Linked DNA regions of Arabidopsis thaliana. The protein of the gene in region 1 interacts with the protein of each later gene in a pairwise test. Each region holds a gene or a part of one and is shown in the gene's direction. Other genes may lie near its edges.

Region 1 (10,059 bases):
CATCCTACCATATATCAACACACCCAACGACCAACACAGAGTAAGCAACATCACGCATATGGTTCCAAAGCAGCAATCTCAATATATCTTTGATTTATTAAGTACTACGATTCACAAAATATCCTATTTGTTATTACTACATTCATCTTTAAACAGATAGCTTGAATATTAGAGTAACCATCAACCTTCACAGCCTTATATATATCACTATCGTACTATTAGAACCAAATAAACAAAATCTGATCCAATGATAAGGTTATATATCAACCAAAATTCAACCTAAAAGCTGGGTCTTTTTAATCTACTCGTTTCCAACTCTATTGATAACGAGTTCACGAAAACATACAAGAGGATATGGAGGTGGCTTCAGCTCAAATCCAGCTGTGATAACACCGGAAACAGCCACCTTTGTCCCTAACCGTCTCTGCAAAATGAAAACACACCAAAGAGTGTGTTTTTGAATTCAAGTTCAAAACAAAACAAGTAAGAGTTTCATTGAAGCATTTCATCAAACACTTTCCCTACATGGTTCATTGTTCATGTTACAACCCAAAAAAGAGTTCCTTGTAGAATTCATCAGCTAATTCAAACTTGGAGGAGATAAAAGAGAAGTTTCAAAAACAAACCTTTCCGTTTCTTTTCCATTGCATTCGCCGGTTTGGCCCTGTAATTCACCAACTAAACCCATTTAAAACCCCCCAAGTGTTCATAGTAAGCGAGAGAGTAAGATAGAAAAAGGAGAGACCTTGAGAAGGAAGAAGCAGAGGAGAGTACAAGAGAGACGAGGGAGTGGCTGTCACTGCAACATTCATCATCTTCACTCAAAGCGTTACTGATTATTTTTGATTCAACAAATATACAGATTCTTTCTTGCTATTATATAACTAAGCCCGCCTTCTTATCTCATAGTCAAATTTATTTCCTTTTTGGTTAGTGTTAAAATACTAATTTCAATTGAATTATATTTGTTTTTGTTCCTGTAAAAATAAGTGTAGTTCAAAAATAAAAGATTAAAATTATAATAATTGTGTGTTTAAATGACATTGAGTGAATGAAAAAAATTAATACATGATATTTATGATTTCAGTTATAATTTGGTATTAAAGTGTGGATTTATATATATGATTAATTATGTTGTATATGTGGTTTAAATACAAATTATATGGTTTGATGCTTTTAAACAATGTGCTTAGAGTCAGATCTTGGTGGAGGAGTCAGATCTTACACGACTTCAGTTTTTATTGTTTTAATTTTTGTCAAATCGAAAATCAAAATAAAAAATTGTTTCTTGCTATTTTCTGTTGTTTGATTTCATTCATAAATCGAAAGCAAAATATAAATTATTTGGTTTAATTTTACGATTTTTAATTTCGTTTTTAAACAAAAATCCATATAAAACAAAATGATGATTTCAATTTGGCTAGACCAGACATCTAGTGTTGCAATTTGAGAGGATGATTTCAAGAACTCAAAGCAAAATGATGCATTGACATCTTTGTTTGTTCATATGACGTTGATTTCACTTTCTGTAACCTTTGTATTGAATCTTGCAATTGCATATGATGAGACAACGGAAATAAGTGAAACTAGAACCAATACAAAGTTGTTTAACGTATGAAACCATTTCTAGTTTATTCTAAAATCCAAATGTTTGAGAACATATGTGAGATTCATATAGGGTCAAACATATCTTCAAATTTAAATGGTAACAAATTTTATCTAATTATTGCCGTAAATTTTATACTATTTACTTTTATTAAAATGGTAAATTTATATATTAAAAATCTTTTATGAGTGTTTAAAAATTAGTTTTAAGAAAATAAGATAAATAGTATTTGCAATTAAAAATGTTTGGTAATAATGATATATAGTAGAATTAAAGAAAAAAATACTTGAGAAAAATTGTGGGATTATATCCTAAACACTAAAGACTCTCTTATGTATAGAGGAGAATGATTTTTTTTAAATCAAATTATAGGAAAAAACTATGATTGTGTTGAATAGATAGACACTATATAGTATACTGCATGAAATTTATAGGATAAAAATATGGGCTATATAATTTAATGTTTTAATTTTAAAAGTTAAGTTTTTAGTAATTTGGGAAATAGTAAATTTAAATTTGATTAAATTAATTTATTTGATAAATAAGAAATCTTTCTATAAGCTAAATATTTAGAAATCCGAAAATATTATTTTTGGATGGTGTATTTAATATTAAAATATGTTTGGTTTAAAAAATAATAAGGATAAGGATAAGGATAGTGGAATTAATAGTGTTTGACAATGAGTATATTATATTCAATAAATGAAAAATAAAAATGATGAGAACAATTATGGGCTTGCCACATCTTTTACTATATAGAGGATTCCAAAAAGTTGGAAGAAAAACAATTCCTAAATTGAAAAGATTTTTTTCTTTTTCTTGCTATGAATGTAAATAAAATCTCAAAAAAAAAATTAGGAGATGATATATATCAAGATGAATAAAGACGAAAGAGACTTAAAATTTGTTACTGCTTCCCTTCTGTCATCTTTGTATTATTTCCTATCATATTGTTAGGAAAGATTTATTTCTTTACATATGAGAAATATGACAGCATCAAATTCAATGTGCATCAAACGTTTTGACTATTTTTGATTTTCTTCCAAAATTAAAACGACAAATTTGATTTTGAAAGCAACTTTTAAAAATACGTTTCGCCAAACTAATTACAGTATAAATTGGATCTCATAGCCAATAACTTTATCTCATCAAACAAAACTCAAGTCATCTATTTCTCTTGTTGCATAGTCCCCCAAATATTCATCATGTCGATCAAGAGTGTTGTTTCTCTCCTAGTAGTTGTATGCATCGCAGCCTCCGTTAATGCTCAGCTACCGCAGTTTCCCCCAATCATGTTCCCGTTTCCAAATCCGTTCAAACCAAGTCCCGGTATGGCAGGAAGTCCCGACTTGAGCAAATGTTGGTCAACAGTGATGGATTTGCCGGGATGCTTTGAAGAGATTCAACAAGCCGTAATGTCCGGCAAATTTGAAGGCGTTGGTCCTGCTTGTTGTAAAGCTTTCCTTGACGCTGAAGCTAACTGCTTACCAAATCTTCCATCCAACCCGTTTTTCCCTCCTATGATGAAACACCAATGCTCCAAAATGGCTAGTCCTCCAACCACCACCGCCTATTAGAATGCAAAAATGTAGTTGTGTTTTTTCGAATTTTTTGTTAGTCCCAGAATGTTCTAGAAGAAGAAATGATAATAATAATGTCTTAATCTAATAATAATGTCTCATTTCTTATATTGTGCTCCATATGATTGATGTTCTTTCTTCTTTTGATTGATGAATGAATCTCAAAGACATGTTGCGTGATATCTCTTATGCGGTTATGACAATGCTTTCTATATAACTCGACATGTAGACCGATCACACACAATTTAGAATACATCACATACATTACATACTATCAAACAAAAATGTTCCAAAATAATGAAAAGAAGATCACGCCCAAGCTCTTTTCCTAGGGGAAAGATCAGAAGTCTTGATATCATCTATTTTAGCCGCCATTATGAAATCATTCATGCTCAACCCTCCTGCATTATTCATCCAACAAACCGTCTTAAGAAACCATATATTAAAACTCAAACTCGAACATCAAATATTTGACATACCGATAGAAGAGGTAAATAGTTCAGCTCGAACTTGGGTAGGACTTTCCAAGTGAAGAGAAGGGTAATGACCAGAAGCTTCAGCAACCTTATGGATCCTGTTTATGAGTTCAACACCGCACCCAAAATCCCTCACTTTCCACATACACCTTATTTTCAGACCACCCGCTTCATTATCCACTATACTCCATCCCAAAACCTAAAACGTTTACATAATAATCATTGAGATTGATGTACCACATCATTAGAGTGGTAACCGTGAACCAAAACACCAACATGAGCCTTATCAACACTAATCATTTCATTTTTTTTTAATCTCGTAACCATTGTTCCTAATATGTCCCTCATGATACTAAAATTTTCATTGGCTTTTCTATATTTTTGGGTCACAATTCTATCTTTATAGATTAGAAATCTGTTAAACGCAGAATCAATAACATTTTCACAATATTTTGATCAACCAACAAACTTGTAAAATCAAAACTCGAACATTTTTATACTAAGAGAGAAATAGTATAAGTACCTTGTGGAGGAGAGTTCTGGCATCATCGCCGGACAAAGGAGGCTGTGAAGACGAAACAGGGGAACACTGAAGCTGGGAGAGAGACAAAACAGATGCGTTTGGTATCAAAATCTTGTGCTCAGTGCTTTGGCATCCCAACACTTTATCTCCGAATTGACTCGCTATCTCCTCCGGGTAAGGGTCACGAGCTCCGAAGTCACCAAGAAAATCCTGCGCCAGATTAGACCGGGTCACCGTTAACCGGCCGAGTTTACGGTTATTCCTACTTACAGGTGGTAATAAACCGAACACTTTAAGGATTGAGCGAGAAGGTTGACGGAGGAGGAGGGAGGACGCGGAGATGTTACACGGCGGTGATGATGACGTGGCGGCCATCGGGAGCTGTGATTTGCTCTGTACCGAAGATAAGAGTTTTGGTTTTTAGAGAGCGAAACGATTTTCAGACCACTGGACTGAGTTAAATGGGTGAGGTGCCACGTAATCACTAATGACTAATGGGAACCACAATAAACTTTCGTGGGACCGACTTTACACGTCACGTTTTAATCTGAGAAGCCCATTGGGTTTGATTGTACTTTTGTGTCCACTTTTGGTGAATCTACTTAAGATTTCATAATTCCGAAAGTATCCTTTTTGGGTATCTTTAATTACAAACAAACCTTCCCTTCTTTCCCGATTTCAAGCCCTAAAATTCCGAGACTTCTGTTTCTCGCTTTAACGACAGTCGCCGAGTGAGAGATATAGAGAGAGAAAGATGCCGGTGCACGATGAGCAAGAGCATGAGGTGTACGGTGGAGAGATCCCAGAAGAGGAAGAAGGTGAGATGGATACGGAAGAGTACGAAGAACACGGCGGAGAAGAAGGTGCCGCCGCCGGAGATGAGGAGCTTGAACCTGGCTCTAGCTCTAGGGTATTGTGATTCTTCGATCTATAATTTACTTTTATCCAATTGAGACTCTTCTTATTTTTTACTGTATTTAGTCTGTTATTTGCTTTGATTGTTTGATAGGACTTGGAGGATATGAAGAAACGAATTAAGGAGATTGAGGAAGAAGCTGGAGCTTTGCGTGAAATGCAAGCCAAGGCTGAGAAAGATATGGGTGCTAGTCAAGGTTTGTACTTATTAACTGATACGTAAAATCTTGAATCTTTGTGCGCAGCTTCACATTAACCTTTAAATTGATAGATTAGGTTTAAAGCTTGTCTTGTTGATTATGATATTGCTTTGGGTTTACATATTGGAATCTTTTAGTGAATCAATGAATCTGTCTAGAAATTTACTGGAGTTTGAGTATGAGAAGGAAATCATTAATAGTATTGTGGAGTCTTGTCAGTTAGCTAATTGGGTCAATACCTTTTATGTTGTTGCATATCAATGAAGACCCTTCAGGTGGTGTTAGTGCGGCTGAGAAGGAAGAAGTGGATTCGCGTTCAATATATGTTGGCAATGTGAGGCTTGTTCCACCATTAATTTTCACATGTTTCTCATATATGTTTGTATCTTTTTTAAAGAAAGTTTGTGTGTTTTATTGCTTTGGTATCAATGAAATTTGGAGGCTGCTTGTTGTTTATTTCTTTATCTCTAGTAATTGCTAAACTAACTTTCCTTCATATTTCAGAAAGCCTTCATATCTCCCATCTGTGAAGCTGATTCTTTAGATATCCTGTGTCTTTGTTTTTTTGTGTATATTAGGTGGACTATGCATGTACTCCAGAGGAAGTCCAGCAGCATTTTCAATCATGTGGGACAGTGAATAGGGTTACAATTCTGACAGATAAGTTTGGTCAACCTAAAGGTTTTGCGTATGTCGAATTTGTGGAAGTAGAAGCTGTTCAGAATTCGCTTATTTTGAACGAGTCAGAACTACATGGTCGTCAGATAAAGGTGCAAACTCGTTCAATACGATGTAGTTAATTATTTTCCATATTACGATTTGTCATTACTAAACTTTGTTTAATCTATTTTCAGGTATCTGCAAAGAGGACTAATGTACCTGGAATGAGGCAATTTCGAGGAAGAGGGCGTCCCTTTAGACCGATGAGGGGATTCATGCCAGGAGTTCCATTTTATCCTCCATATGCTTATGGGTGTGTTCTAGAACCTTACCTGCCTATCCTCTCTTTTAAAGTCCATTTGTTTGATTCATCATGGTTGTTCATAAAATTGACAATGGTTGATGGTTTGTGCAGGAGAGTTCCCAGGTTCAGACGGCCTATGCGCTACAGACCGTACTGATTAGGCAAATTGGTGTTAAAAAAGTAGCAGCTGCTTCTCCGTTTTCGGGAAAGCTTATCATCATCAACACGGTTCATCGGACGCTGCAGTTGTTTCGATTAACAGAGATGAGTTGAAGAATTGTATGGCAGAAGAGAGAGGGGAATTATATTCTAGATTTTCTGTACAATATTTGATGACAAGTGCAACATTTTGATGAGTTCCTTTGTTTTTATTATCTTCAAACACGAGTCACGATTTCACAATAACTCGCAAGCTTCCATTGTTCTAGATTTGATGCATATTGACCAAAAAAAAACAAAAGTTAATTCTCTAAGATTAATTTGGCCACGTCGGTGAAAGAAAAGGAAACTTTCGTATATTTACATAAATAGGTTTAAAGAATGTATTAACTAAAAAAGAGAGGATTACTTAAATATGAGACTCGTTAAACCCTTTTGGACTTTCAAAGGCGGTTCGGTTCTTCTTCTTCTTCTTCCTCCTCGCTCTGCGCCGCTTAACCTCGAAGAAAAACCTCTCTAGGAGCTAGCTTCGTCGAATCTCTCTGTTTAGACTTAATCGTTTTGTTTCGATTCTAAGAATCTAGCTGATAGCGATAACATAGAAGAAACCCTAACTTCGCGAGCTTTGTTCATCAACGCGTGTGAGAAAAAAATGGGTCGGGACAACGATCAGAAGAAGAATAAGAAGAAGAGAAACAGAAGTAATGAGAATGAGAAGAGTGTTGAGAAAGTAGTTGCTAATGAAGAGAAAGTCCCAACACAGCAGAAGCAGAAGCAACAACAAGGACAACAAGGAAATTGTAATCAAAGCAAGAAGAAGAAGAATCAAGAAGTTTATCCCTTCGGAAATTACAGAAACTACTATGGCTACCGAGTGAGTTTCGTAGTATATTTTCAAATTCCTTCATAGTCTGCTCATCTTTTGGTTTAGTATCTGATTTTGGATTCGTTTGGCAACATAATGTGTTAGATAAGCAATGACACGGATGAGGATCCTCGGCTTAAAGTGTTGAAGAAGGAATGGTTTGAAGGCAAAGACTGTCTTGACATTGGCTGCAACAGCGGCATCATGACTATTCATATTGGTATCTTCTTCTTATCAATATCATAATTTGTTCCTATCTATGTCCATCCATTATAGTAATAGATATGTTGTTGTAGCTATACCTGTCCTTATGAGAATGCTATAGTAAAGTGTGATTGAACTTCCATTGTGTCTGAAATCTCTCTGGCAGCATCCATAATTTTATATAGTCGTTAGCTGATATTGTTTTGCTCTTCTTCAGCAAAAAAGTTCGGTTGCCGGAGCATTCTTGGAGTTGACATTGATACAAGTAAGACTATAATTGGTTGTCATAATATCTTCCAAGTTTTGCTTTGTGTAGGAACTGAATTATACTCTTAACTACATTATCATTCAAGTCTGCACTAAATGAACTATGTTTTCTTTGATTGAAGGTCGCATTGAGGATGCTCACTGGCATCTTAGGAAGTTTGTCAGAATGCAGAATTCTACTAAGCCTAGTGAAAAGAAATCTAGTTCTGAGGGTGCCGATGGAGTACATGGATCGAAGGAGCCATCTGTTTCTCTCTCCAATGGCGAGGCAAAGGCAGATAGTGCAGAAACTAAAGACTTGTCTCAGATTGTGTCGTTTCAGAAAGAGAATTTTGTTCAAACCCGAAATCTTGACGACAATCGTTATGATACAATTCTATGGTAAACCCCTTTCCTTTTGTCACTTGTACTTTTGGTTTCTGCCATTTGGGAGGAATAAAAACAAATGAACAGTCACCATTTCTTTTGGTAATGCTCATACCTAAAAGTGCATATGAAATTTTATCTGTAGTTGAGAAAAGCCTTACAGGAGGTTTCTAGTTATGTTAGCTTATGTAACTAAGCCTTTCTAGAAGGAGGGCCACATTTTTAGTTCCAATCAAAACTTCCTCTGTCTTGGATTTCTTATGCTGACATGTTCTTTTCGATGCAGTTTGAGTGTGACAAAATGGGTTCATTTGAACTGGGGTGATGATGGTTTAATCACCTTATTTTCAAAGATTTGGCGTCTTCTTCAACCGGTAACTATATTATATCTAATCATGTGCCCATTATTTGCTTTTCATATGCGCAACTGACGGTTGGCTTTGCTTTTCAGGGTGGTATCTTTGTAATGGAACCTCAGCCTTGGAAATCTTATGAAAACAATCGTCGTGTCTCAGAGGTGTGTATATATACACAAGTTTATTTCTAATTGCGCAAGTTAGCTAGATATATAGTTTTAGTATTTGTTTGCCTTGTGTGTATGCAGACAACTGCAATGAATTACCGAACGATTGTTTTACGACCAGACCGTTTCCAAGAAATTCTTCTTGATAAGGTACTCTCTACTTCTCTGTTATACTGCCATGCAATAGTCTAAGTGTTGTTCAAAGTTGGATTAAGAGTCAGATTAAATCTAGCTCAAAACTTATTTGTGTAATGAGTTTAGTCTTGGCTTATTTTGTTGTCATTTGATCCTGTCTGTGATCGGATCCTCATGTTCCGTTACTTGTGTTTTGGTTTTGGCACAGATTGGGTTTAGAACAGTGGAAGATCTTACATCAAGCTTGTCCGGTGCAAGCAAAGGGTTTGATAGACAGATTCTTGCGTTCCAGAAATGAACATAACAAACCAGATGCCTCATTGAAGAAGAAGGACAAGTTGTTGAGTTTTTGAATAGCCTTGTGAAAATCAAATTATGACATGGTTGAACACAAGATATAAAAGGCAACTAAAAGTCGCTTCATATCTAATATGTAATCTTTTTGCTACAGCTTAGGCTCACTAATCTAATTCCATTGGTCCTCTTTTTGTACGCGGTTTTATATGATAATGACATAAAACTTTGAATCGATAAATGAAAGAATCTTTGAATACAATGAATCAACTTGATACCCTTCCATGTAAGCACTAATCAGCATAGTTGTAGAACAATGTATACAATACAGTTGCCACAAGTGTTGGTAACAAGAATTACAGTGTCAAATAATTGTAAGCTAAAGGGATGCCCAAGATGGATAAGGACATTCGTATTCCCATCCAGTTCCACAGTATTGAACGCAATGTAACCAGAGAGCCTCGTCATGCTCCTCATATCTGCATAAGTTAGAACTTAGAAACATGAGACACCATTTGGATGAAAACAATAACACGGTTGTGGTTTTAGCATTTTTTTTTTTACCCTTGTGGGATCAACTTTGGGCAGTTCGTACACATTGGATCGATGCTGAAATCTTCGCTTGAATACACGTAGTCATCTGGGGAGACAATCTTTCTCTCACCCGCATCGATTCTTTTTGCAATGTAGGTCTCAAGATTATCTATGTGTTGATTGAGATAAAGAGGGTCATTCGCTATGGGATGCCCTGTATATTGTAGATGCACTCGTATCTACAAACGTCAAAACCAAAATGAGAAACCCCAAAAGGCCAAACTCTCTCTATCCACTATCCTCATGGCTAATAAGATCTAAAGATCGTTGCTTTGTGAGTTTTTACCACTATATATGTATAACAGCTGCTAAAATCCGTATTATGTATAATCAATTGCTTACTTGATGGGTTCGCCCTGTCACTGGTTCACATGAGACGAGGCTATGA
Region 2 (11,322 bases), on another chromosome or scaffold:
CATAGAATTCCATTGATTGTTAATTTTTAAATAAATTCATTAAAGATAAAATAGTAATCACAAAATTAATAGATTTAAATTAATATTTTATTAGTTTTCCAAAATTAAAATCATTTTCTCTTTCCTATTAATTATGGACGAAAAATTAAAATTTATTTCTTAAAATTTGTTAACCAATAAGATTTGAAAAACTAGGATTTGATATCCAATTATACTATATTTGTTTTTTCTATATTATTAAACTAACATTTTGGAAGTTAATTTTTATTTTAAAAGATTTTAAAATCATAAAACTTCTTTGATACCATTAATAAAAAATCATAATTTGCAATAGATAAATAAATACAATTTTAGAATTTTGGGTTAAGTATTTTAAAAAATAAAACAAAAATTTTAAGGTTGAAATATCACAATTTCTAAAAAACGAGATTAGATATTACAAAGATTTATAGTTATTATGAATTAAACTAAAAATAACTAATTTAAATTAATTATCATTATGCCGTTCATTTAGAAATATCTAAACAATAAATTGTACATAATAATTTCGAAATATTTTGGGTTTTCTTTTTTGAGTTTTTCTTTTTTTCAACCGGATCTTTCTTTAAATAAATCCATAATATATTATTGCACAAACTTTTTGAAATAATGTAAACTAATTATACATTTTTCATTCCATATCCAGCAGTAATAAATTGCTTTTATACAAAATTTTAATTATATTCCAAAAATCCAATTAATTATGATTAAACAAGGGAAAGAAGAATATTGGAAATGTAGCTAAGGAAATAAACATTATTACATTTGTTAAAATATTTTTTTTTACAAAATTATTTGTTAAAATATTTTTTTTACAAAATTATTTGTTAAAATGCTATTCATATTTTTGTAAACTTTAACATCATATATGTTAATCCGCAAAACTCATTCATATATAACATGGTATTTAAAGGTAAGCAAATAAGAATTTTGAAACATATTTTTAATGGAATGAAATGAAAATACAAATTATGAGACACGAACGACATGAAAAGAGACGAAAGCACTATATAAAATAAATTGAAACCAAACTGAACATCAAATTAAATATCCAACTGAGTAGTTTGGGTTGTGAGCTCTATATAAAATAAATTTATTTACACACATAACCATATATGTATATATTTTGTGACACAAATTCTATTTGTGATGGATACGGGTTGGTAGTATTTTTATTTCACAAATACAGACGGGTTATGGGACGAAGAATTTATGATAGTTAGATCACATTATGGATTTTTGCGTTCCAAGATAGTTACGCCTAGCAATGAAATAACCCAAACTAAAACCAAATCCATATCCTATTTTACACCGGTAATCAAACTGTTGTAATGTTTTGATTAGTTTAGAAAATAAAAACTTACAATCACTAACTTTACAGTTAAGTTATATCTTAATGTTATCTTACTAATATAATTTCTCCGTGTGAGTTCGGATCTTAAAATGTAACTATACACGAACGCAATTGAATTTCGATCATTACTGTTAACTTTATAATATCTATACTATTACAAAGTTTACTCATAACAAAATATAATATATTTTTAAAATCTATTAAACAATTTTTATATTTTGCAAGTATATGCGAATTCATATCTAATACATTATATTATAATATATATCACAAAATAACAAAATAATCTACATTAAATTAAAAATATGAAATCTCGCACGTATGTGCGGGTCAAGATCTAGTATATTATTATTTGGAAAGTATTGTAAACAAATGACATTAGAATGCCATTAAAAAAATCTAATCATAGACCAAATTTATCCACATCATTAAAGTTATGATCCACTTCTTAATCTCGCGGGTCAAGTCATCAAACGGGTTTTCATACATTACATAAACTTTAATATCAACTAATTAGATAAGTGATTATTGAGAAAGATTTCGTAAACAATAATATCAACTAATTAGATAAGTGATTATTGAGATAGTTTTCATAATCAATAAGATTAAATATTCAGTTAAATCTTCTAACTATGGAACATATACAAACACAATATTTGATAACTGAATAGAAACAAAATCTTTGGCATCAATAACCTTCTATCATCACAAATCTTCAAGAACAATTTAAAATTTTTCTATCAAAATTAATATACTCAGAAAATAACATATTTAAAACATATTATTCTACAATTGTTTGTTGAATTTTCTAAAAACATATACTCAAAAAAACCTAATCTTAGACCATATTACTCTGTAAAACATTCTAAAGAGCGTCATTTAATTCATATAATCCCCTCCAAACTCATAAAAGTTTATAAACAATGATAAATTAATTCATCTCATTAAAGATAAACAAGTCAAATACTAATTTATGCAATTTAATTAATTGTAACGGTGTCAAAAGAATATAAACTGTTCATTCTATAAAGAAAAAATTGTAACGGGTCAACACTTTAGGCTTTAGTAATATATTTCTTTTAAACAAAAATTTTGACTGAGTAACGGGTCATAATTTGAATATTTATATTCAATTTCATGCTTTTTTTTTGAAATGTAAAATTTTATATACTTCAATAAACTTTTTCAATATTTAGTTTGGAATATTTTAAGATAGTTTTACTTGATATTTTTAAAGAATATCATCAACACTTAATAAATCAAAATTTAAAAATTTTTAAAAACTCTAATTTGCTTCTTTTTAAAAAACTTATATATTTAAAATATTTATAATAGATGGCGGGTTAAATATAATGTTTTATGATGAAATGAGTTATGATCTTTATAAGTATTTGAATATTTATATTTTTTTATTTTCTACAATTCTTTTTTTGAAATTCATAATTTTATATATTATAATAAACTTTTTAAATACTATAGTTTGAAACATTTTAAAATAGTTTGATTTAATATTTCGAAAGAATATCAAAAAATTTAAGAGTGAATTAGGTGAATAACCATATTTGCAAAAGTTATTAAATAACTAGCACTATAACATACATAATTCAGTAACTAACACATGTGGGATATGTAATTACAACCTACTCCTTATGGCAACGGAAGTGACTCCGGCGACGGTGGTGGCTCCGGCAGCGTGGTTGCTCCGGCGACGGTGGTTGCTCCGGTGACAATGGAAGCTCCGGTGACAATGGAAACCCTGACAATGGGGTGGTGGCTCCGGTGACGATGGTTGCTCCGGCGACGTTGGTTTCTCCGGCGACGGTGGTGGCTCCGGCGACGGTGGTGGCTCCGGTGACGGTGGTTTCTCCGGCGGACGATGATTGCTCCGGTGACAATGGAAACCCCGACAATGGGGTGGTGGCTCCGGTGATGGCATTTGTTCCGGTAAGGGTGGTAGCTCCGGCGACGGTGGTGGTGGTGATGATGGCGGCGACGGCGGTGGTAGTGGTGATGACGACAGCGGCGGTGGTTGTGGTGGAGATGGTTGTGATGGTAAGAAACAAGGGTATAATGACAAATATTGTAGAAAATATATCGAATATCATCCACTTTTTTTCTTTTGGTTAGTTAGTGAATTATTAAATTTTTGTAGGTTATTGATGCAAATTTCCCAAAATTTAATAGATCAAAAAGCTAAAATTATAGTTACTCTAATTTGATATTTTTACATCTATATTTAAAATATTTATAGCATATGGTGGGTTATATGTAATATCTTTTTAATAAACGGCATGTTAAGATTATATGAGGAGATAGGTTGAATAAGGTTTGACGCCTCTAAATATTTAAAAATAACAAATGATGGATTGTGTAAACAATAATTTTTAGAAAAATGTTTGATCCCTCTAAATATTTTAAAATTTGATTCTGCAAGCAATTTTAAAAATAACGAATGATGGATTGTGCAAGCAACTTTTTAATTGCGATTATAAAAATGAAAATATAAACTTCAGTCACATATAGAACTTTTTTTTTTTGTCAACGGATTTTATTTAGAGTTCAAAAGAGCCAATTGTGAGGGAAATTGTTTACAAAAGTGACATGAAGCGGTTCAGTACGAATTTTTTGTGCCAATTTGTCCGCCTTTACATTTGCAGTTCGAGAAATTAAAGATAAAGAAAATTTTGTGAATTCCTCTTTATCGGTTTTTAATTCCTCCAAATAAGTTGAAAACGCTGGTCATTCGGTTGGAGAAGACACCATCTTCACCATGTCTGAACAGTCTGTAAAAAATGCTACTTCTTGGTTGTCGGCACCAATCATACACTTCATCGCCCAAAGTAGAGCTTCGACTTCTGTATGGAGTGGAGAAAGACTTCTACGAAGATTAGCAGCTCCCATGGCTGGCGAGTCTCCATTTGATGATGTGCAAAACCACCATAATCAAGAAAACTTATAGCTTCCTTTTCAAGATCCGTCCACAAAACAACGCAAACCAGAATAAATATTATCGTGTGATATATTCTGGACCCAAATTTGTTTTTCCGATCCCATGGAACCGTTATTTTCGGAACTGAGCTCAAATTGAGCTAACTACCATGATTGTGCCTCTTTTTCTGCTAAACATAATACGTCTAACGGATCTTTATCCACATTTTCAAATATTTTTTCGTTCCTTGCTTTCCAAATATACCAGATTATCCATAGAAATGAAGATGAATCAAATTCTGAAGGTATTCTTGAAAATAAGTGATCCAAATTCGTAAAAATAAAATCCGTAGGAAAAATTCCTGGAACTGTAGAAATCTTTGAGAGAGCTCATATCTGTCTAGCCGGATGACATTGGAACAGAGAATGGTTTATTGTTTCCGTAATAGCGCCACATCTGACACATCCTGTATCACAATTTATACCTCTTCTCCGTAAATTCTCCGTGACAGGGACACAACCTGACAATGTTTGCCACAAAAAATGTCGTAACTTAGGTGGACATTGCACTTTCAAGCATGTGCTTTTAGAACGTTTATTTCAGGACCAATGAAAGATGAATTATCCTCCAATTTTTCTAACCTTGCTGTATGATAACCAGATTTAACTGTATATTTTCCGGATTTTGTGAAATGCCAACCTAGAGTATCCTCTTTTGTTGACGTACCCAAGTGCAATGCACTTATTAGCTGGACATCTTCCGGATCAAAGAGCTCATTCAAAAGATCAATATTCCAAAAATTTGACCGGCTATCTATTAAATGTTGGACTTTTAAAGATGGGTCAATAATTGAACCATTACTTATTGCTGGTCTCAGGAATTGAGCCGGAATCCACGGATCCTCCCAAACTGAGATAGATGCCCCTGAACCAACTCTTTTAATAAGTCCTTTATTAACCAGAGATCTAGCTGAACAAAGACTTCTCCATCCATAAGACGGAGAGTATAATTTTATATTTTCCAAAGAATTGGATTTTCGATAATATCTCCCTTTGAAAACCTTTGCAAAAAGAGAATCTGTAACCGTTATCAAACGCCATAACTGTTTCGATAGTATAGCTGAATTAAAATCATCTATACTCCGAAAACCTAAACCACCTTCCAATTTGCTAATACACAATTTATTCCAAGCCATCTAGTGCATACCTCTAAATTCACCATTCGAATTCCACGAAAGTCACATATAGAATTTGATATTATTATATACCAAAAATATGTTCATAATACATGCTAATAATTGCTAAACTATGTAATTAGCTCCAAAAAATCTCTATTTCAAACTAACTACCTAAGTAGTACGGTTCATGATCTGGTTAGTTGTAGTTAATTAAGCACTTATTTCTATTTATGTTTATATCAACCGTAATTAAGCACTTATAGTTACAGTTGTAGTTAATTTTTAAAAAACATAATAACTTATCGAGGGGTAAAATTGTAAAACGACCAAAAAACAAACCCTACCCTAATCTTCTTCTTCCTGCGCCGTATCCCAAAAAAAACACAGAAGAAAGAAAAAAAATTCGAACTTTTCTGAACCAAATCATTCCAAGCCTTTGCCGCTTAATCCTCGCAATCCGATTTCTAGGGTTTAGAAATTAGATTTTGGGTTTGGATCTCTTAATCATGCCGAGGCAGAATAAAGATGAAAAATTTGTTTTTGATGACGGAGAAGACGAAGACAGAGAAGATCCAGTAGCCATTACAGAAGTCGACAACGGCGAAGAAGAAGATGATGATGAAGCTAATGAAGATCTAAGCTTGAAGATTTTAGAGAAAGCATTATCGAGGCGTGATGTTGGGAACAAGCTTGATTCTGATCTCTCCTCCGATTCTGGTGTAGTTAGTACTGTGATGGTTAATGGAGTAAAGTCTAAGGTTAAAAAGTCTGAGAGTAGTAAGAAGATGAAGAGAAATAAGCTTGAAGCTGACCATGAAATTGTAAGTATGAACGATTCTCTTCTATATCTTCTTCTCATTACAGTTTCAATTATTGTCGTATTAATTGCTTTATAGATTTGAGAATCAGTAGTCTTTGATTTGCAATAGGAAAGATTGATTTGAGAATCAGTAGTGTTTAATGCTTATCGGTTTTTGTATAACAGCCTATTGTTTGGAATGACCAAGATGAAGAGAAAGTGGTGGAGGAGATAGTAAAAGGTGAAGGAGAGGATGATGAGGTTGAGAGATCTGATGAACCAAAAACTGAAGAAACAGCTAGCAATTTGGTTCTGAAAAAGCTTCTTGTGAGTTGATTGAATTGTTGCTCTTATCTCAAAATTGTGTAACTTGTTTGTGATGATGACCATTGTTGGGGTCTTGTTGTTGTTGTTGTTAGCGTGGAGCAAGATACTTTGACCCTCCTGATGCTGGTTGGGTGAGTTGTTATAGTTGTGGGGAGCAAGGTCATACAAGTTTCAATTGTCCAACTCCTACTAAGCGTAGAAAGCCTTGCTTTATATGTGGGAGTTTGGAACATGGTGCAAAGCAGTGTTCAAAGGTGCGGTTTTAAGTTTGATGGTAGACCCATGGAAGGTTTAGGACTAGTCTTATTTTACTGCATATGGTTGCTGAGTAAAGTTTTCGTTGTTTTGACAGGGACATGATTGTTATATATGCAAAAAAACTGGACATCGAGCTAAAGATTGTCCGGATAAGTACAAAAACGGGTCTAAAGGAGCTGTATGTTTAAGATGTGGAGACTTTGGACATGACATGATTTTGTGCAAGTATGAGTACTCTAAGGAAGATTTGAAGGTAACTTTGCTGATGATTTCTTTCATATACCTTACTGTTTTGTTTTTAAAAATTTAGTCAAAACAAACTCTGTTTAAACGAAAAGGAACTGATCATGACCATGTTTGGATTTATCATTTTTTTTCCTGAGTTTCCTTAACTTGAGGAGATATATCTTCTACACACAGCTGGTTTCACCTTTCTTGAGTTTCTGGTTGCTTTGCTATAAGATAGATCATATGGTAATGCTATTTTGCTGTATTTTCTTTGACCAGGATGTACAATGCTATATCTGTAAAAGCTTTGGCCATCTATGCTGTGTTGAACCTGGTAATTCACTGTCATGGGCTGTATCTTGCTACAGATGTGGTCAACTGGGTCATAGTGGACTGGTAAGTTATTGAGATTCTGATTTTGAATTATCCACACTGTGGATTGAGTTTTCCTCTCTAAACAGAATGTCATTTTAGTTAAAATAAATATGCCTAAAATGATTCTGCCACTCCAGACTCAAGTAATTTTCTCTCTAGGCATGTGGTAGACACTATGAAGAAAGCAACGAAAATGATTCTGCCACTCCAGAAAGGCTTTTTAACAGTAGGGAAGCCAGTGAATGCTATAGGTGTGGGGAAGAAGGGCATTTCGCACGTGAATGTCCGAATTCGTCGAGCATAAGCACTTCACATGGCAGAGAGTCACAAACTTTATGCTACAGATGTAATGGATCAGGACATTTCGCTCGTGAATGCCCCAATTCCTCCCAGGTAGGCTCTATCTCTCTCTACATTTGGTGCTTTGAGGTCTTCACTTCTTTCCTTTCTCTCACATGTTATGACTCACAGCGTTTCCGTTTTTCTTCATATAGGTTTCTAAGAGAGACCGTGAAACATCTACAACATCACATAAATCTCGCAAGAAAAACAAAGAGAACTCAGAACACGATTCTACTCCCCATGAGTCCAATGGAAAGACAAAGAAGAAGAAGAAGAAGAAAACACATAAAGAAGAACAGCCCCAGACTTCACCAAGGAAACGAAAACACAGAGGCGGTTGGATCACAGAGGAACCGGAAGAAGAATCTTTCCAAAGAGGAAAGATGAGAAGGCCAAAGTCTCCCATTACACCATCGGGTTATAACAGGTCACCCTCTACACATATTGGTCATAACTATAGATCGCCAAAATTCAATTCTGGTGGGCATTACCCGGGTTCTCAGTCTAGTAGGCATCACTCGGGTCCTTCACCTTCAAGGTGGCAGCCTTCTCATCAGCATCATCATCATCATCAGCATCTTCATCATCATCATCAGAATCACAGTTATGAACCTGCACCACCAAGGCATGGAAGAGCTAACCGCTATAGTGAGTTTGCAGGGAACTATGAACGGTGGTAGTATCAATTATATGATGATCAATGATCAAGGTCAAAGCTGGAGACTATCTAGCATGAAATCTATTATGCTTGATGGTGTGTTTCCTGGGATCAAAGGTAGCTTCCCTAGACCTCTTGTATTTGATTTGGGCTTTGGTGCAGCTTCTTGTTGTTTTGTTCTCTTCTCTTACACAAGTAGTTTGTTCAGTCCTCATTTACCCAAGTCACTTAGATTTTCCTTCGTTATGTTTGTTTAACTTATTATGAAGAGAATTTTGTATTTGTTATCAAGGATCATTACTATTATCATTTATATAAACTGATTCTTTATTCATCTGAAAGTGGCTGATTTTTTCTTACTCGAAATTTATCTACTTTATAAATTGGCAAAATCCCAAGTCATATCATCAACACCAGAAACAGAGTGTTTTCAAAGAAATAAACAGAGCAAAAGAGAAGATACTCCTGCACAGCGATTAATCTCCAAGTTTAAGAAAACAGTAGGAAACAAATTACCTTCTTTCATGTATTGTTTGTTGTTTACTCATAGGTTTGAGTTGTCGTGTAACTTCCACTCCAAATAGCTTTCAATGATATCTAGACCGCATAGCTCCTTCACAACCGGCATTGTAGCTGGAACTGGCAACTGAAACGCTGAACCGGAGGAACCATTCTCACCTTTCCACATACATAGCTGTTTGCGTGCTTCTTTAACAGCCTGTCTGGTAGCGCAGTGCACCGAAGCTGCCAGTAGCAACGGAGGCTCTCCCGAGGCTGCACTTACACAAACAATATGATCAAAAATGTTGATTGCATATGTTTTGCGTAGGAATGAGTGACTGACCTTTAGAAGAGAGTACGCGTTTTTCATGACATCCACCATTTAGTATCTCGACATTGAACTGTTTAGGAATGGTGTCAACTGTTGGAATCTTGTATGTCCATGTGCTATCCGTCAGAAGGAGTCCTTCTGGATCTTCTATGTACTCTTCAAGCATGAAAAACCCAAGTCCTTGAACAAAAGATCCTTCAATCTGAAGCAGAAACACACAAAACACATTACAAAAAAGATTCATTTGCTTTCTGAGGTCTCTCTTCATATATATTACCTGTCCTAAATCGACAGCGGGATTGAGACTTTTTCCACAGTCATATAAGATATCTGTCTGTAGAACTGTGGTTTGTCCCGTCACAAGGTCTACTTCAACCTATTAACACCATGAAAACACCAAAGTTACTTCATTTCTCCACTCCAATTTCAGATTTTTGAGAAAGGAAAAAAGAGCTTGCCTCGCTGACCGCAGTACCATAGTTCAGGTACTGCATGGGAGTGTCTTTTGGAGTATACAAGTCACTAGCTGATAAGTTCACGGATTGTGCATAAGCCTGAGTTTGGACATTAAAATCTTGAATCAGAATGAAGAAGCTCAATCTTTAATTCGTTGACACCAACAATAAGCAGCAAATCAAGGAAGAATACCTGAGAAATCAACTCATTCCAGGTGATTGGACCATCTGATCTTTCCATTAAAGGTTTCAATCTTTCGACTAAGGTTTCGCAGCAGAGACGAACAGCTGCGCAGCTTCCCTCGGATGTTGTGCTACCTCCTGTGAAATTTCCTTGGACCATGCTCAATGAATCTGATTGTATAACTCTTATCTTCTCCAAGAGTTCTTCCGTTCCATCGCATTGTAGCATACCAAGAGCATAACTAGTCATCTGCTTCACCTTTGTCCATAACCCTTGTCCTAGCTCGATTCCACCAATCTCAACAACAATCGTCCCATCGCTCAAAACACTTACTCTCCCTGGAGTAGCAAACAATAAAACCTCATAGATAATAGGTACTCGAGATATCCCTCGTTTTCTCCACATGTTAGACTCGTTGAACTCTCTGACAACAGAAACCCTCTCCTCAAACTTGGAAGATACGCCAACCTTATCCCACATCGAAGATAAAGTATACTCATGTGGTTCACCAGCACCATCCTTGTAGAACAGGGCTAAGCTCTCATGTGTATGGAGATTAATCTTTCTTATTGTATCAACCTCCAAAGAGAGGCTAGAGGCTATATTTTCGATGATGGCTTCAGCAATATACGTACCCTGCACGTCCCCCGGGGATCTCATGATTGCTCTGCTTAGAAGATTTGTTTTACAAAGTTTGATATCAAAAGATAAGGCGCCCCAATTGTACTTCTTTAGCGACCCTATGAGATTTGATGGAATAAACATACTAAAACCATAACTTGCCCCAGCATCAATTAGTATTTCTAGCTCCAAAGCTGTGATCTTCCCTGTAGATTTGAACCCCACACTATACGTTATCTTCATCGGATGCCTCCCACCAGTCATTATCATATCGGTCTTGCGGTTGACATAAGTTCTCACAGGACGCTGCAGTTTCTTAGCAGCAAGAGCGCACGCTGTTGCAACCTGAGACAGTAGAAAGCTTTCAGGTTTCGGTCCATTTCTTGCAGAAAGTGAGGGGAAAAAGAGGACAATTTTTGAAAACTTACTGGCATTGACTTGACAGATTTCCCTCCAAAACCTCCACCAACACGTCTGGTTATGACACGGATGTTATTTTCAGGGATGCCTAGGCAAGCAGCGACCGATGACTGTACGTACTGAGGGGTCTGTGTTGAACTATAGACTACAATGCAGTTGTCTTCATCTCCCACTGCAAGAGCTGTTTGTGTCTCCATGTAGAAGACGTATTGCGATCCGAGTCTTATCTGTTTCACATCAAAAGTTACAACGGTTGAACATATATATCTAATTTTTACAGTAAAAAAGGACTATATTACATACTTCCGAGCTGAGAATTTGGTG
Region 3 (10,281 bases), about 19 Mb from region 1:
AATAATATATTATTCGGCTCCTTCAGACTTCACTACAACTTTTGCTCCTCTCACGTAGTGCCTGTCTCTGCGCCAGTGCGTCTCCCGGAAGAGCTCTACTTAGCTCATCTCGTACACGAATCGACTTGGGAGTCAATGTACTCCACTGAATCCATGGATGGTCGCGATGATGATGATCAAGAACCATCTCAGCTCTCTAGCTATCTAAGACAGCTAGAGGATAAAGTTAAAGACGGCCAAGAAGAGGAGACAGAGACGATGATGAATGAGATTGATAAATTGGCTGATAGGTTTATAGCAAATTGCCATGAGAAGTTCATGTTGGAGAAAGTTGATTCATATAGGAGATCCCAAGGAACCCTGAATAGAAGCGGTTGATAACGATGATGATGGGGCCTAATTTGTATCTTTCATTTCTTTTTATGTGATTTCACTTTTTCCTTCTTTTCTTCTTTTGAAACTCCTCACATGCATAGTTTGAATTATCTGAAAATGTGTATTGGAAGCATAGGGATATATGGATTGTGTGGTGTTTGTTGTGTTACAGTCTAATGATGATGATATTGATGGTGGTGGTTTATAAACTAGAATAGACGACAGTCCAAAAAGGAGAAGAGAGGATACAAATGGAATGGATTTTTGTAACTTTGGCTTTTGTGGTTTATGACGTTCTTTTGCTACTATCTTCTGATATTGTTGTTTTCTTTTGGTTGTATACAACGGGACCAATTTCGATTTTCAGTTTACTTATCTGACTTTTCTAAGATCCATCAGAAATAAAATATTTCCTTAAATAACATCATTATGCAAAAAATTAAGATAGTGTAACCTTAAAAATGCTAGACAACATATAAAACAAGTTATATTTAAAATATCAAAATGTTGATAAAATTTATAAAGTGTAAATTTTAATTTTCAAAATCTCAGTTTTTCCTAAATTATATAATTGTATTAACTAAAACTACATTAATTTAAAATTATTTATTAACTTTATGTAATATCAATTAAAAATAATATTCATATATAGTTTAAGCTTATGCATAATGGAGCTTATATATAGATAATTTTATTTTTTATGATATATAAAAAATTTAAACATTAAATTAACAAGCCTGATTCTAAACAATTTTAGCATAAAAACCAACTTTTATTTATTATAAATACAAGTCTTAGTTTAGACTTTAGAGACTCCAGTAGAGGTGCCTTAAAAAAAACATACATTTCATATTTTCATTAACAGTTTGGGCCAAACAGGCCTATGTTATCATAAAATAGGCCCAAAATGAAATTAAACAAAAACGCATCGTCTTGTCTTAAGCTGCTTCCGACCAAACTAAGGTTTCTCTCTCCTCCAACTTGGAACTTCCCGTCTTCGATCTTCTCTTCTCTCTCTCTTCATCGCACGCTGTGCCCAGCCAGCTCAAAACACTGCACTTCCGCTTTTTATCAAGATCAATCTCTACCAATACTTAGAAAAGTTCTTTCCTTTTTGTCAAATTCTTTCAATTTCTCTCTTCAATTCCCTACGAATTACTCACTTCGGATCCAATCAGCTCTTTATAGCCTCTGCGTTTGGGAGTCAATCTTTCTCTCTTCGACAATTAAGGGTTTCGTATAAAGATTGCTGTTTTACGACAGGATTCTGAATAAGGAGGTATAATTTCTGTTTTGTACTTAGTTTGAGCGATTTAAGACATTTCTCTTTTGTCCATTGAGAGATCTAACAGTTCTAGGGTTTGAAATATCACTGGAGTTTAAAAAAAAGGGTTTTACTAAATTATTCTCTTTCTTAGGGTTTAAGATATTCTTTTCACATTCTATTAGATTGTTTGATCATCTCATGTCTATTTTTTTTGCTGTCCGAATATTCGCTTAAACTAAAGTTATCCAATTTCTTGATACAATAAGTCCACCAATAAGCTCCTACATTCTCATGAGACCTCGACTGTCAAAATTATTCATGAATCTGATTAGTGCCAATGTTTTTCGTGAAGTACCTGAAAATTTAGTAGTTTGTTAAACTATTGATGTTATAAAGTGTTTTCTACATTTCAGAAGAAGGGTTGGTTTCATTTGGATGGAAAGTATATGGTAGGTCTACACATTAATATGGAAGCGCAGATTCATATACTTGAGCAGGAAGCTTATTCTGCTGTATTAAGAGCTTTTCAAGCACAGGCTGATGAATTTTCTTGGGTAAGTCCTCTTTCTTCCTTTTGCCATCAAAAGACAAAGGATTTGGCTTATATGGTTTCATTTTATAGGATAAAGCAACCGTGATGACAAACCTACGTAAAGAATTGAGGATATCTGATGATGAAAACCGACAACTGTTGAACAATGTCCATAATGATGATCTTATCAAAAGAATAAGGTAACGAGTCTGATCATTTGTGATAGTAAAGCTATGAATCTAGATTTCGTTGTATCTTGTAATAATGTGTTGTATGATGGAACTGGACCAACAGAGATTCGAGACCAAGAGGTGGAAACCAGGTTGTTAGACATCAGTCCCTCGATGTTCATCCTAGTCCGACTTTTTCAGCTTCTCGGAAGAAACAGAAGACGTTCCAATCCGTAAGACTTCTTGTTTTAATCTTTGGTCATAGAACAACAAGCAGAGGATATCTGTATTTGCATATGGTTTTCTGTTTATTTACTGATCATATCATTTGTGATACACATGCAGTATCCGTCGATTGGTTCTACTAGAAGTAAGTCATTCAATAACCGTGTAGTATCAGCAAATGAACCTGCGGAAGCTCTTATTGGAAGAAAAGTGTGGACAAAATGGCCTGAAGACAACAGCTTTTATGAAGCAGTAGTTACACAATACAATGCAAATGAGGTAACTTCTGATGGCTGAGACCTTTTTATTGAGATTGAATCAGAAATTCATATGTTCAGCATTATATATGTTTGTGTGTCGAGGTGTCTCCTGTACTTCGAATATCTGACTCCAAGGCCTCAAAGCCTGATCGAAATTTACCGTATAGTTCAGAGTTACTCTAGTGAGTGAGCATTGCAATTACTTTAGGTTGATTGTAACTGTGTAGAAAGCTAAGCAACTAGTCGAATCGCTTAGCTAGATAGCTCACTAGTTAAAAAGGAAGTTTAGGCAGAATGAGCCGGGGTACTCTGGATTAGTCTAGGATCATGGTTTAGGCATTTGTCGAAAGACTTCTCTAGTTAATCAAGTCTCTCTATAGTGTAGTTCTTGATGAATTGAAGAAAGGAGGTGTTTACTGTTAATGTGCATATGAGGCGTTGAAAAGTATACTATGACTTTGATATATCTAGAAGTTTGGAACTGTATTTAGCGTTGAACATAGCTTAAGTATATTGTAATTGATGCATTCATTGTTCTCTCGCAGGGTCGACATGCGTTGGTATATGATATAAACACAGTGAATGAGACATGGGAATGGGTTGATCTTAATGAGGTAATCTTCACGAGTTTTTGATATTATTAGGTTTTTAAGTTTTTTGTGGAAAATGCTGCCAAGAATGTCTTTTGGGTAAAGTTACATTTGTTTTTGGAGGTAGCTTTCATTAGTAAGATTACGTGGGAAACATTTGTATAGTGTATCCACCTAGTATGAAAACATTTTCAGCAGAATCTGAAGTTAGTTAGTTATATAATTGTAGATTCCAACGAAAGATATAAGATGGGATGGAGAGGAAGATGGGGTAACTTTGAATGTAGGACATGGCGGTGGAACAACTCGTGGGAATCGAAGGACCTTAAGCCATGGTGGTAGAGGGAGAGGTCCAAGAACTCAGCCAAGAAGAGAACATTTAGCAACGGAAAACGGTGGTGGGAGGAAGTTTTTCGGTGAGATTGAATTGTTCAACACAGACTCACTTGTGAAAGAGGTAGGTATCTCTATCTCTCTGCATTTTGTTTCTCTTTAGGCAAAAAGGGTTTTTGATGTCGAAATCTTTCGCATTAGGTCGAGAGAGTTTTTGATTCAAACCTTCCTGATCCACATGAGCTTGATAAGGCCAAGAAGCTACTCAAGGTGAGCGATATGATAATTGATAAGAACTTTGTGACGAGATATCGATTGAAAGAAACAGTGAAGTGAAACTTGGTGTTGTTGTTATTGGATGATATAGGAACATGAACAGGCGCTTATTGCTGCCATTGCAAGGCTTACGGATGCTTCTGATTACGAAAGCGGTAATAAATGTGAACAGCGGCCTTTGTTTATTTCTATTTGTCATGCACTAAGATCACTAACAACAACATAATTTGTGCTGGTGAACCAGATGGAGAAGAACCGTATTCGCATGAGCTTCCAATGCTGCTGGGGTGAGTATGTATGACACCATCACCCCTAGGAAAAATGACTAGCAATATTTCTTTTTCTTCTGTTTTGCTTTAAGGGATCCCAGAAAATGATTTTGTTCATATATGATGAACAATTAGTAGTATTCTTCTAATTTGTGGTTTCAGAATGTATGAAAATAATCGTTAGGAATTTTGTTTGTAAAAACACTATTTTTAAAAAAAAATTCTGAACTTGTGTGATCATCATCAGGCTTGCCATCAGGATCGTTAATAATTTACTTGCTCAAATCCCCAATTCCTGTCTAAACAATGTAAAAAGAATCGAACCAAGCATGTAAATATTGAGAAGAGGCTTTTGACCTTTGAGCATAACATTCAAAATCTGATTCAATTAGCAAGAATATAAGATGGAAAGTGAGATCAACATAAATCACCTGTCACTGAATCCTTCAATTTTAAAAATATTTCAATGGTTACTTTACTTCAATTTATTTTATTGTTTTAAAAAAATATATTCAATGGTTATAAGAACGGTTAACAATAAATTAGTATCAGGGTTATCGTCTTATCGACCCGATGTTAGAAATTTTTTATAATTTTTCTTTTGTTAAAATGACAATCTTAATTCTTAATGGCAATTATATGTTCAATCTTAATGGCAATCTTAAACCGATCGATTATTCAAATTATATGTTCCGTATTTTTTTTAGATTGAATGTTATTGATAGAGTTATCAGAAAAAAATACTACTTTTTAGTTTAAATTACTGTGATTATGATAAAAAATTAAAACGCGCCAAACTTAACGATTTTTTTCCAAAATTTCTACAAATGACTCGTTACCCAAATTATTTTTTCTGTATTTTTTGAATATATTAAAACTAATGTGACTATGATAAAACAATTAAAACGCGCAAATTTAACAATTCTCTATTTTTGAAACCACTGGATGTGAATTAACAATAAATATAAAGTAATATGTGTACAAATAATCAGAGTTGAATATTTTTTTGGTGTTTATTACTTGCATGAGTACAAGTTTGATTCCAGTCTCATCAAATAAACTCTATTATTGTCAAAACATAAATTCATTCTAATGTTAATGTATATACTTTAAATTTATAGTAATCCATATAATTAATAATGGAATTAGTCTCCTGGTCTTTTGGTGTTCCACGAATTAATTTATATTATTAACAAATTAAGCAAACCTCTATCCCCCATTTATATTGTTGAGCTGTGTGTGTGGAGATGATGATGATGATGATAAACCCAATAGAATTTTAAAAGGATAAGAATCGCAAAGCTCATATCACAAAACTTTGAGATCTCATTTCATCTTTCTTCGATTCTACCTACTCCGATTCAATCGATCTTATCGAGACATGGATGCTCGTAAGAGAGGACGCCCTGAAGCTGCTGCCTCTCACAACTCCAATGGCGGATTCAAGAGGTCTAAGCAAGGTTTGTTCTTTCACTCCTCTCCTTCCTATTGTCTCCAATTGGGTTTTAGAAATTCGAGATCTTCACAACAAGAGAGAATGTTTTGGTATCACTTATGTTTGTTCATTTCTAGTTGCAATGTGTGCTCTGTCTCTCGTAAAGGTTGTTCCTTTGTTCATTTTTGTGTTCATTAGAGAGATTAGTCGCAAACCCTTTTTCTGCTTCAGTCTGGTATTACCTTACTTGAGAGTTGGGAGACAATTGATATGAGAAGTTTGTATCTTGTTCTGCTTTGTGTTGTGCTATTGGCTTACCCTTCTTCTCATATTCATTGGATTCATCAATCAACTCCCATTAGCCTTTGTGACCACTCAACATTACTGGATTTACTTGATTGATATATTGATCTGTATCAACTCAAGCTGTTGAGTTCAATTTCAAAACTCTATAACCCTGGAAATTTTCAAAACCAGAATGGTATACTGGTGCCAAGTCCAAATGATATGTATTGAGAAAATTGTAGAAAAGTTTAACCAAGTAAAAGCACTTAATGTTTGCAACAGAGATGGAATCAATTTCAACTGGTTTAGGAAGCAAATCCAAGCCATGCACTAAATTTTTCAGGTTATAAATCTATTTTTTTTCCTGATTGGATCATGAAATTAAGAAGTAATACTGTATAAAGTGTGCTAATGAAGTGGATAGTTGTTATACAGGTACGTAGCACTGTTCATCCTTAAACGAGTTAAAAAGTCAATGTAACAAACTGTGATTCCTCCTAAGAATGGATGATAAGCTTATATGGAGTATAATTTTGGAACTGAACTCTACTGGTGAATCTAATATACAAAATCAACCAAAACTTGTTTTTGTGGCTGTCGTTGTAAACAATTTGTTTATTCTTCTTCTGTTTGATGGTAAGGAAACTGTAATTTTGCATATGCAGCATAAAACCATTGTTCTCAAGTAAGGTTCTTCTTGCATTATCTTTGAACTATCCATGAGTCTTTCGGCTCCTGTGCAACGTGTTGTTCATCGGTGATGCATAATGACTACAATCTGTTTTATTACTTTATAAATTTCTTTCATTATCTTTGTACTAAAACGCTATAGCTTTTTCGAGAAGGTAGCAATAGTGCAACAGCTTGGAGATGTGTCGTTTTGTTCTTTCTCGAATGAATTTGCTGATGCATTATGGTTTGTACTGCAGCACTTCTGGATGTCCATTTGGTGACAATTGCCACTTCTTGCACTATGTGCCCGGTGGGTACAATGCTGCAGCGCAGATGACAAATCTCCGACCACCGGTTTCTCAAGTTTCCAGAAATATGCAAGGATCTGGTGGTCCCGGCGGCAGATTCTCAGGGAGAGGAGATCCAGGATCAGGCCCTGTTTCAATCTTTGGTGCTTCTACTTCCAAGATCAGTGTAGATGCTTCTTTAGCCGGTGCCATCATTGGAAAAGGTGGAATCCATTCCAAACAGATATGCCGTGAAACAGGAGCAAAATTATCGATTAAAGATCATGAAAGAGACCCAAACTTGAAGATTATCGAGCTGGAAGGAACATTTGAACAGATCAATGTAGCGAGTGGGATGGTGAGAGAGCTTATAGGGAGGCTTGGATCAGTGAAGAAACCTCAAGGGATTGGTGGTCCTGAAGGGAAACCACATCCTGGGAGCAACTACAAAACCAAGATCTGTGATAGGTACTCTAAAGGGAACTGTACATATGGAGATAGATGCCATTTTGCTCATGGTGAATCTGAGCTGCGCAGGTCAGGAATCGCTTAGTTATGTCTTTAGACTCTTGAGAACAGATTATGCATTGTTAGCTCCATTATCATTGTGACTTTTTGCTCTCTCTTTTTGTTTTATCAATTTGTTTTATGCGACTCGCTTTGAAAACTTTAGCCCATTCTGTATTGAGCTCTGAAGATTCGACGAGTTCTGTAAGTTACCGATCACAGTTAAAAGACTTTGATATGTTAAAACCCTTATATTACAGCTACATACTATTTTTGTCTTAACTCTTAAGATATCATGCACAATAATATACTTGTTTTGTCTTAACCTATCGATTACAAAACCGGGTTAACCGCCGACATGAGGCGAACTCTAAAGCCTAACACGCGTCAACATCTATCTTCTCAACGACTCAAAGGCTTTCCAACACGTGTAGGACCAATAACTGAAACACAAAGCCTACCACCTCTTCTTCCTCTTCTTTCATGACACGTCTCACTGACGTGTCGTCAAGAACGTAATTAAATATTAAACTATCGTGACGAACGCGAGGCCTATGGCTATATCTATGGGACATGCTCGGTGAGCAAAACAATAAACAAAAGTAATCAGAAGATATCTTTGTAACATCTTTGAATTTCGCTAAAGGAAAAGAGAGAGATTTGGTAAAAATGCAGTCGATGAAAGAAACAGCTTCGAATATTGCAGCTTCTGCAAAATCTGGCATGGACAAAACCAAAGCTACCTTGGAGGAAAAGGTAACAGAATTGTGGTTATTATTAATTTATTGATGTAAAATAATAAAAATGGTGTAACGTTGGGTTTGTTTTGTCTTCAAAAGGCGGAGAAGATGAAGACACGAGACCCTGTTCAGAAACAGATGGCTACACAGGTTAAAGAAGATAAGATCAATCAAGCTGAGATGCAGAAGAGAGAAACGCGTCAGCACAACGCGGCCATGAAAGAAGCGGCTGGAGCCGGAACCGGTTTAGGTTTGGGGACGGCCACTCACTCGACCACTGGACAAGTCGGACACGGCACTGGGACACATCAGATGTCGGCTCTGCCTGGTCACGGAACGGGACAACTGACCGACCGCGTTGTGGAGGGCACGGCTGTGACCGACCCGATTGGAAGGAACACTGGAACTGGTCGGACAACCGCTCATAACACTCACGTTGGTGGTGGTGGTGCCACCGGGTACGGAACCGGCGGGGGATATACTGGATAAACGGTGTTGTTCACTTGTTCTGTTATTTGCTCTGTTTTTGTTGAATCGAAATTTCGTGGTTTTCTGTCTTACTTTCGTGTTCTGTTTTTTTTTTTTCTTTTTCTTGTGCTTCTGAATAATTGTAGGACTTCGATCTCATCTAGGTTTTTGTTGTTGGATGATAGTCTTACTTTATGAGTAGAATGTTCATGCAATGTAACAGTAGTAAAATTATCCGTTAACAATATTGTGCCCATGCAACTTAACAATAACAATACATTGCTAACTTTTTGAACTTTGAAGAGAAACATTGCTAATGCTAAGTTTTTGAAGAGAAGCATTCGCATCATATTTGAATTAATCTACTATGTTATCAAAGAAAAATTATTTCTCTGCGCAATGGGTTTGTATAAAACAACATGTACCATGCGTGAATATTCTTAAAATAGTCACTTCGTTTTGAACCATGAAGATTTTTAACGATTAGATGATCATTGATCCGACATTAGTATTTGAAGTACAAAACCAAAGTCAAAAGACTCACAATTATAACCTTTACAGTTTTTGGTACGTTTTCGATTTTCACGCTGACTCTTCTTCCTTCTTCGGTTGCTCTATAATCGTCCAATCTGATTTGGATCTTCGTTGGTGTTTTTTTTTGTGGTTGTAGGAAGAAAAATGTCTTTCAGTTTTTGGAAAGGAGGAGGCTAAACATGGAGTGGAGATGGCTTTGATTGATTTGGATGCTTTTCAGTTTTTTGTTAACATGGAGTACAACGATATGCACGAGACTCCACTGGGATCTCATAGTATCCAAGCTGATATTGATGATCCAACAACTTTGAAGTCAAGACCACAAACTCATGATGTAGAACCTAATCAGTTTCCCATTACTTCCTCATCAAGGGATCACCCGCAAGGAGCGTGATATTATCAAGCTCAAAGCCCAGTTTGTGGCTGATTTTGGAATGCCTTTTGGGCAGGATTTGGTGATGAAGAGTGTGTTTATGAAACCTGAGCTTGAGCGGTTGATCCTCTGTTTAGGTTTGTCAAATGCTTTTAACTTTTTTTAAGAAGAAACGCGTTTTTAGACTTCTATTTCTAAATAAATCGACAAAAACAAAAATATGATGTAAGATCCTTGGTAATACGTACCAAAAATCACGTCATCAATTGAATTTAATTTTAATTTATAGAGACAACTTTAATTTACACAAATCATATTTTTCACACTTTGCTTCAACTACTCTCTCACTCTTGAAGACCAACGAAAGTCTTTTCCTTTTTCTCCAAAAATCTCACATTTTTTTTCTTCAGTTTCATCTAAAAAGATTCAATTCATATCGAAAATAAAAAAGGAACAAACTTTGCTTTTTGTTTTCGCAATCTCCGATTCGTTAACTCGTTTTCTCTCTTCACCTGTTTCAAGCTTTTCGATCCAACAAATCACGAGATTCCTCTTTCCGGTGTGGTCTCCGGCGACCTAAAATAAAGAGTTAATTCTCGTGGTCGTGGAGAGCAAATGAGGGATGTTCTCCTGGTTAGCGAGAATGGCTCTTTTTTGTTTACGACCTATGCGGCGATACGGTC

What was found.
Region 2: the proteins of PABN1 (region 1) and AT3G43590 interact in a two-hybrid assay, tested with the Arabidopsis thaliana proteins (one large-scale study listed by BioGRID).
Region 3: the proteins of PABN1 (region 1) and AT5G06770 interact in a two-hybrid assay, tested with the Arabidopsis thaliana proteins (one large-scale study listed by BioGRID).

Annotation. Positions count from the first base shown.
Region 1 is NC_003076.8:20,774,821-20,784,879, forward strand, and holds PABN1 (polyadenylate-binding protein 1), read left to right. Parts: upstream 1-4,840; 5' UTR 4,841-4,939; coding exon 4,940-5,095; intron 5,096-5,194; coding exon 5,195-5,297; intron 5,298-5,376; coding exon 5,377-5,499; intron 5,500-5,566; coding exon of another isoform or gene 5,567-5,575; coding exon 5,576-5,634; intron 5,635-5,878; coding exon 5,879-6,070; intron 6,071-6,154; coding exon 6,155-6,273; intron 6,274-6,375; coding exon 6,376-6,421; 3' UTR 6,422-6,737; downstream 6,738-10,059. Other genes in the region: FSD2 (Fe superoxide dismutase 2), read right to left, coding at 1-4, 347-424, 627-664, 746-815; AT5G51105 (ECA1 gametogenesis family protein (DUF1278)), read left to right, coding at 2,812-3,183; AT5G51110 (Transcriptional coactivator/pterin dehydratase), read right to left, coding at 3,496-3,587, 3,666-3,861, 4,186-4,560; AT5G51130 (S-adenosyl-L-methionine-dependent methyltransferases superfamily protein), read left to right, coding at 7,076-7,297, 7,394-7,508, 7,710-7,757, 7,882-8,140, 8,412-8,499, 8,577-8,642, 8,730-8,798, 8,992-9,081; AT5G51140 (Pseudouridine synthase family protein), read right to left, coding at 9,283-9,356, 9,486-9,556, 9,642-9,850, 10,014-10,059.
Region 2 is NC_003074.8:15,503,748-15,515,069, forward strand, and holds AT3G43590 (zinc knuckle (CCHC-type) family protein), read left to right. Parts: upstream 1-5,779; 5' UTR 5,780-6,005; coding exon 6,006-6,320; intron 6,321-6,484; coding exon 6,485-6,625; intron 6,626-6,717; coding exon 6,718-6,879; intron 6,880-6,977; coding exon 6,978-7,136; intron 7,137-7,390; coding exon 7,391-7,507; intron 7,508-7,645; coding exon 7,646-7,879; intron 7,880-7,980; coding exon 7,981-8,508; 3' UTR 8,509-8,827; downstream 8,828-11,322. Other genes in the region: AT3G43583 (uncharacterized protein), read right to left, coding at 3,027-3,329; AAO2 (aldehyde oxidase 2), read right to left, coding at 9,031-9,260, 9,331-9,520, 9,596-9,694, 9,777-9,872, 9,967-10,923, 11,007-11,225, 11,302-11,322.
Region 3 is NC_003076.8:2,088,185-2,098,465, reverse strand, and holds AT5G06770 (KH domain-containing protein / zinc finger (CCCH type) family protein), read left to right. Parts: upstream 1-5,464; 5' UTR 5,465-5,678; coding exon 5,679-5,757; exon of another isoform or gene 5,758-6,286; coding exon of another isoform or gene 6,287-6,299; coding exon 6,300-6,360; exon of another isoform or gene 6,361-6,887; coding exon of another isoform or gene 6,888-6,946; coding exon 6,947-7,529; 3' UTR 7,530-7,763; downstream 7,764-10,281. Other genes in the region: AT5G06790 (cotton fiber protein), read left to right, coding at 1-378; EML2 (Emsy N Terminus (ENT)/ plant Tudor-like domains-containing protein), read left to right, coding at 2,089-2,196, 2,265-2,374, 2,469-2,577, 2,690-2,848, 3,375-3,443, 3,649-3,876, 3,954-4,022, 4,120-4,183 and 1 more; LEA4-5 (Late Embryogenesis Abundant 4-5), read left to right, coding at 8,153-8,239, 8,323-8,712; AT5G06755 (uncharacterized protein), read left to right, coding at 9,179-9,299, 9,381-9,619; AT5G06750 (Protein phosphatase 2C family protein), read left to right, coding at 10,221-10,281.